2 linked regions of the Macaca mulatta genome follow. The protein of the gene in region 2 interacts with the protein of the main gene of each other region in a pairwise test. Links are inferred from orthologs where the notes say so. Each region holds a gene or a part of one and is shown on either strand. Other genes may lie near its edges.

Region 1 (3,649 bases), on a different chromosome or scaffold from region 2:
GAGCTGAGCTCCCTTGATTCCAGAGTGGGTGGCCGTAAATACTATTTTGAGTCGGAGGATCAAGTTTTTCTGGATGCCACTGGGACAAATAAATGGAAGTGGGTAAAAGTGGGAGGGGCAGGGCTGGTGAGGGGAGTAGGAAGAAGATTGCTTCTCATTTTATATGCCTCTGCATTTGTTTAAATTTTTTTTTTTTTTGTAATGGATTCATGTTATAATTAGTGAAATGAGTAAAAATGTAAGTGGAGAGCAGGATTTGGTGAGCCACTAGAAGGCAGATTTGGGCCAGCTGGCCCTAAAGGCCCCTGAGGGTCTTGCTGACTCTTGGGGAGGAGGCAGGGCAGGGACAAGGAGTGGGAGAAGGGAGGAGGGCAGCTGAAAGTCACTCTCTCCTGCCTGGCTCTGGTCTGTGATTTGAGCATACGGAATGGTGGACACTGAGCTTCTGGGCTCACTGCCCTGACCCCCAGGGTGTCCCTGGGAGCTTATCAGGCCCAGGGACCTAGGTAGTCATCACCTGGAACTCACAGGACTTTGGCATTTGCCCTGTGGTCAATCTAGGTGTGCAGAAATGGGAAGCTGCTCCTGGTCTTGCTCAAGCCCCTAGTCTGTTGGCTGCCATGTGGCCTGTGGAAATGTCCAGGAGTGAACATTGGCCTCAGCCATTGTCTGTTGGCACTGCGTAGATCCGGGTTTCTTAATCTTGGCACTATGGATGTCTGGGGCCATGCAACTCTTTGTTGTGGGGGCCATCCTGCACACTGTGGGATGTTTAACTGCATCTCTGGCCTCTACCTGCTAGATGCTGGGAGCACCACTCTAGCTGCCGGGAGCACCACTTTAGCTGCCGGGAGAACCACTCTAGCTGCAGCCATCAAAAATGTCCCCAGATGTTGCTGAATGTCCCCTGGAGGCAAATTGGCCCCAGCTGAGAAGACCTGGTGAAAATGGCTGGACTGGATCATGTCAGAGTCTTCCCAGCCAGTGGGGTAAAGCGCAGAGGCTCCTTGCAGAAAGTCCCCACTGAATGTATGGGTCCCAGATTGCAATTGCAAAAGTGGGGTGTGTTTCCCAAAAGCCAAGGGGGCAATCCCAGTGTCTCCATGACAGAAGACATGTCCCTGACCGACACTGACCATCCCCGGGCTCTGGAGCCTCCAATCTAGGGCCAAGGGCACGGAAGCAGTGAGGATTTCCTTGGAGATGCCTAGAGTGATAAAGCTGCAGCCAATGGACCTGTGACCTGCGGTCATGGGAAGAGCCGGGAGCACCTTCTAACCAGCTCCGGCTTTTACCATTTCCCACTTCTCCATCTTCTCTTCTCTCCTCTTCTTTCTCCCTCTGTCCCCTTCCTTTCCTCCTTCCATCCTCCTGCCCTCCTGTCATCTCCCTTATTTAGTTATAACAGAGTATTAAAGTATACATTTATTATATTAATTAGACCTACATATTCCTTATTTATTTATTTATTTATTTATTTATTTATCTGAGACGGAGTCTCACTCTGTCGCCCAGGCTGGAGTGAAGTGGCCAGATCTCAGCTCACTGCAAGCTCTGCCTCCCGGGTTTACGCCATTCTCCTGCCTCAGCCTCCCGAGTAGCTGGGACTACAGGCGCCTGCCACCTCGCCCGGCTAGTTTTTTGTATTTTTAGTAGAGACAGGGTTTCACCGTGTTAGCCAGGATGGTTTCTATCTCCTGACCTCGTGATCCACCTGTCTTGGCCTCCCAAAGTGCTGGGATTACAGGCTTGAGCCACCGCGCCTGGCCCTTATTTTTAATTTTGAAGATAAGGGAATGGAAAACTTATTATTTTCTCTAAAATAAAACAAAATGGCACCATTTATTTTCTCCCTGTATGGCTGTTGGTTTGGTTTGTATTTCTGGGGTCAGGGGCTCCCCATGAAAAACCAAAGCTGCTACACTTGAAAGCCGTCTTTTTGCAATGCCAGGCACTCCTTGGGACAGGCCAGTGACAAGGTCCCGCCCTCTGGGAATTTCCACTGTGTGGTTGTCTCTTGTGTCCTCTGCCTTCTCTGGCCTCTTCCTTCTCCTAGGGGGGGCAGGAAGAGAGGCCCCTTCTCATTCCTTCCTGACACCCCCCACCTGTAGTAGAACATCTCCCGGCAGGCATGACCTCAGACGAGAATCCTTGCTCTGCCAATCCCCATCGCCAGTCCCCTTCCACTCCCGCATCACTGCCCGGCTCCAGACTGTGCGCCCGCCGGGACACTCACTATTTGGCAGAGTCGTTGAGCTGATACTCCCGGGACCGGTTGAAGCACTCTTGGATTCCTGAGTCGCCCCAGAGCCGCATCATGGCAGAAAGCAGCTCTGCAGAGAAGGGCTCGGTGTCTTCCATCCGACTCACCACGTCGCACACCATCTTGGCGTCAGCCTGTAAGGAGAGGTGGATGGTGGGCTTTGAGACTTCGGTGGGGACAGAAGACCCCTGCCAGCCAAGGGCTCTCCCCTGGCTGGGACTGTGATGAGGGCCCAGCCAGGGTGGCAGGACCACGGCTCAGCTCACAGCCTGCTCTGGGCAGGGCCACGACCTGAGCATGCACAGTCGGGGTTCATGGGGCCTGTGGGGCCTTCTACCACATGGACATCCTAAAGCAAGAGCTCCAAGCCACAGCCCATGGGGCCCCAGAGTTTTCCGGGGCAGGAAGGGAGAGTGGGCTGGGCTCTGTTCTCCACCCTCCAACTCAACCAGCAGCTCTGCTTTCATCCTGAAAACACAGTTATTTTGTTTGGGGGAGAAAAAAAAATCAATGTTCTTTGCTGAGTTGTAATTTTCTACACTTCTTACGCAGGCTGGAATGGAGTCCTTAGAACTGGGCTATGTGGAGGAGCAGGTGTTTCGGTGGAGAATTCTGGTTCGCTGAGGGATGGGCCACAGGGGGGGCTGTGCCTCAGGACTGGGGGAGGGGAGGGGCTGGTTGCCAAGTGAGTGCAGATGGCAAAAATATCTCATGCCAACATTAAATCTCAAGAACTTTGGTCCTTGGATTGCTCAAAGTCAAAGGCCATTTTATTAATTTTTCTTGATTTGTTTGTGACCTGGGGCCTACCTTTCTCTGGGGGCAGGGGAAGCCCCTAGGTCAGGTGAAACATGGGAATGGGAAAGGACAGGTAATGAGCTTGGAGCGCTCTCCTCCTCTGCCTCCTCCCTTCCTCCTTGTCTGAGTGGGTGTAGCTGAATTTGCTTAAGGTGCACAAGTGTAGGCTGAGCCTTCTTGAAATTACAGAAAAAGTACTGCATAATTAACAGGATTCTTCCCCTTCCCCTCATCCTGAATATCAAAGTAGGGTCACCTGTTTTCAAAGACTACAATCACATGCATGTAACATCACAATCAGGCGTGTGGTGTCTTTGAAGACAAGAAGGCTCCTGGAGACATCCCAGGACGGCACTGTCACTGCCACCTTGCACACGGGAGTAGTACTTAGTGTACAAAGGATTTGGTGGACACACTCCGTCCTCAGAACCTCCCCCACCTCAAGAGCGAGTGGCAGGAGCTGTGTCATTGGGCCTTTCACCCCTCCTCTGCCCACACCCGTTGTCCTGTGCCTCTTCAGCTCCTCCTGCTAAAGGCACTGTACATTTCCTGTCTGCTTGATGTTGAGTATGGCACAGGACTTGCCAC
Region 2 (3,452 bases):
GGGTTCTGACCTGAAGGCTGAGGTAGCCCCATTTTTCCCCAGAACACAGGGCCAGAGGAGGCGGACCGGCCCCCTTCAATGTCCAGTCATGATGCAGCCCCTCCCGCAGCCCCCAGCCGTAACCCCTGCTGCCTATGCTGGTGCTGCTGCTGTAGCTGCTCCTGGTGAGTAGGGCCTGGGGTGCCCAGCTGGAGAGGGGCTGGAGGGCCTGGGGCCAAGCAGACCCAGGAGGGGACCCAGTGGTGGCTTCTGAGGAATCCCCGCAGGTAGGGTGCTCCTGCCACCTCGCGGCGTGTCCTGTCTGGGGTCTGTTGGGCCCTGGTGATGAGTGGCCGGTGCCTTGGGCCCAGGGGACTTATGTGTGGTTCTTGTACCTGTCTTGCCAAGGGTGTGTCGGTGTGCTGTGTACACGCATGTGCCCGTTCACACGGCATGTGCTTATCCATGCTGCTGTGAGCCAGCCCAGGCTGGGCCCTGGGGGCCTGCGATGGAGTAAGACAGGCACAGGCCGGGCGCGGTGGCTCACGCCTGTAATCCCAGCACTTTGGGAGGCTGAGGCGGGCGGATCATCTGAGGTCAGGAGTTCGAAACCAGCCTGACCAACATGGAGAAACCCCGTCTCTACTAAAAATACAAAATTAGCCGGGTGTGGTGACGCATGCCTGTAATCCCAGCTACTCAGGAGGCTGAGGCAGGAGAATGGCTTGAACCTGGGAGGTGGAGGTTGCAATGAGCCGAGATCACGCCATTGCATTCCAGCCTGGGCAATAAGAGCAAAACTCTGTCTCAAAATAAAAGAAAGAAAGAGAGAGAAAGAGAGGCACAGACCCCACAGACTGTGTGGGGTGGAGGGACGTTTGAGCAGAGACTCGAATAAGGCAACTGCTGGCCCTGGGGTGATAGCCAAGAGCTTCCCGGACAGCATGCGTCGGGGGAGAAGAGCACAGGGTGGTGGGGGGGTCTTTGGGCATCCCTGTGAGGGTGGGAGTGGGGCTCCCAGATGGTAACAGATTTCCTAGGAGGGTAGGGGAGCTGGTGCATGTTTTCATGCCTTCCGACCCTGGCCGATGAGAGGACAGCGCTTCTGGACCCAACGTGGGGTCAGCTGACCCATGGGCAAGCTGGGGGTGGCCAGGGGGCAGTCGGGAAAGGGGCTGGGAGGAGCCCAGGGGCCTAGTTCCGTCAGGACGTCTGGGTGCACGATGTCTGCCAGCCGTGCCCTGGAGAAAGATCAGCCGGCTATGGATTTGGGTCCAGCATTGACAGGGTACTAGGAGCCAAGGCAAAGAAGCAGTTTCCCTTGAGAGAACCAGGGATCAGGCTCCAGGACCTAACCAGTGTGGACACATGGGTTTGGGGCTTTCAGTGGTGTCAGCTGACGAGACACACTGCTGACATGCCAGACCTGCAGCGTGTGGCCCCATCAGTGGGACAGGGACAGGCCAAGAACAGGCCGAGGAGCAGGGTGGCCATGTTCCTAGGCACACTCTCATGGGTGTCCCTGTTCCCAGGCACATGACCCTTCTGGCATCCCAGGTGTTCAGGCATCTCCCAGCTCCTTGTGGCCCCTCAGCTTGCCCCAACCCATCTCCCCTAGGGGAGCAGAGGCAGAAGGGGAGGTGGCATACCTGCTTCTCAGCCTCATGTGGGGTGGGCATGGGTGGGTGGAGGAGGTTGCCCAGTGGGCCAGGGATGGGGAGGAGCACCAGGAGCCAAAGGGTCCCTCCTGGAGGGCCAGAGACTCACGGGCACTGGGTCAAGGTGCTGGGATGGAAGAGGGCTGAGTCCGTGGGCACTGTGGCAGGGACAGTAACCTGGACTGCAGATTCCGTGGAGAATTCGGGAACGACTGACAGGGAGCATGGACACCCTTTCCCAGGAGATTGTGGGAGGAGCTAGCTGCAGGGGCTGCCCTCCTACAGTGGGTACACATGTGTGTCAGATGCCTGCCCATGTGCTGAGGGCCTGTGTGGCCATGGAGGCGTGTGTGCCCACGGCAGTGCCGCTTCCTCTCTGCCACTAGGAACCAAGAGCGGCGGCGCGCGTGGCAGGCCTCCCGGGAGAGCAAGCTGCAGCCCCTCCCCAGCTGTGAAGTATGGTGAGTCCAGCCGGCTGGTGTGTGCGTGTTGGGGGGCCCCAGGCTGGGAGACTTGAGCCTGACGTAGCCTGGCCCCAATGCCCGCAGTGCCACGCCAAGTCCTGAGGAGGTGCAGAGCTGGGCCCAGTCTTTTGACAAGCTGATGCACAGCCCGGCGGGACGCAGCGTGTTCCGGGCGTTCCTGCGGACAGAGTACAGCGAGGAGAACATGCTCTTCTGGCTGGCCTGTGAGGAGCTGAAGGCCGAGGCCAACCAGCACGTGGTGGACGAGAAGGCGAGGCTCATCTACGAGGACTACGTGTCCATCCTGTCCCCCAAGGAGGTGCGCCGGACACCACAAGGGGCAGGGGGCCGCCTGCTCCGGGCACTAGGTGGGGAAGGCACCTCCCAAGCCCCCTGACCTCAGTGCCTTGTCCTACAGGTGAGCCTGGACTCCCGTGTGCGGGAGGGCATCAACAAGAAGATGCAGGAGCCGTCCGCACACACGTTTGACGACGCACAGCTGCAGATCTACACACTCATGCACCGGGACTCCTACCCACGCTTTCTCAGCTCTCCCACCTACCGTGCCCTGCTGCTGCAGGGGCCGTCACAGTCCTCCTCCGAGGCCTAGGCCGCCCCCAGCAGCACAGACCCCACCGCCTCCTATGGCCGACTCTGGGTTGCCTTCAGGTGTTGGCTGTCGGGGCACACACCTGCGGGCCCAGCCTGGCCGGCTGGGGTCCCCAGCCGTGGAGACGGTCCTAGACCCAGTGGGGAGTGCTGTGCCTCCTGGCTCTGCCCACCCGTGGCCAAGCAGGAACTCCAGGTGCAGGGTGGGCCAGAAGCCTTCTCATCGGCCCACAGCTGGCTGGCCCAGGGCTCCTGGTGGGGGCTCTTGCATGGTGAGAGTAGGGGCCCCCCCAGGAGCCATGCTGGACCCAGGAGCCTCGTTGGGGCCTCTTCCCCAGGCAGCTGACGGGCCCCGGACAAGCCTTGGTGGGGAGCAGAACCTCTGCATCATGTAGTTCTATGACATAAGGAGACCTCCTACTTGAGCTGTCTGTACCCCAGAATCAAACCCAGAACCTCAGAACCAGATGTAGGACCTCAGAATCCTGCACTCAAGGTGGCAGGACCCAATTTCTGTTTTATATGTTCATGAACTTTAAACCTGGAAACATATCCTTACTAGGTGTTTTATCAAAAAAAAAGTTTTCATATTTATCTCTATCCCTAACCCCCCAAAAATAGGATGTCTTATTATTGAAGATATTTTTAAAGCACAAGTCTCTACTCATTTTTGTCCAAGTGTGGGGAGAGACTGGAGAATGAGTGGCCCCAGACTCAGGGCTGGGGAGCAGTGCCCTTGTGC

The links. The genes of interacting proteins can lie anywhere in the genome.
Region 1: the proteins of RGS19 (region 2) and GNAO1 interact in a two-hybrid assay, tested with the Homo sapiens proteins (2 studies listed by BioGRID). The link is inferred for Macaca mulatta from reciprocal best matches to the Homo sapiens genes RGS19 and GNAO1.

Annotation. Positions count from the first base shown.
Region 1 is NC_133425.1:51,890,693-51,894,341, reverse strand, and holds part of GNAO1 (guanine nucleotide-binding protein G(o) subunit alpha), read right to left. Parts: intron 3,492-3,649; coding exon of another isoform or gene 3,478-3,491; intron 2,398-3,477; coding exon 2,237-2,397; intron 1-2,236. UniProt on the Homo sapiens protein: Guanine nucleotide-binding proteins (G proteins) function as transducers downstream of G protein-coupled receptors (GPCRs) in numerous signaling cascades.
Region 2 is NC_133415.1:116,963,709-116,967,160, reverse strand, and holds the end of RGS19 (regulator of G-protein signaling 19), read left to right. Parts: intron 1-42; coding exon 43-164; intron 165-2,023; coding exon 2,024-2,098; intron 2,099-2,185; coding exon 2,186-2,420; intron 2,421-2,519; coding exon 2,520-2,711; 3' UTR 2,712-2,913; downstream 2,914-3,452. UniProt on the Homo sapiens protein: Inhibits signal transduction by increasing the GTPase activity of G protein alpha subunits thereby driving them into their inactive GDP-bound form. Binds to G-alpha subfamily 1 members, with the order G(i)a3 > G(i)a1 > G(o)a >> G(z)a/G(i)a2.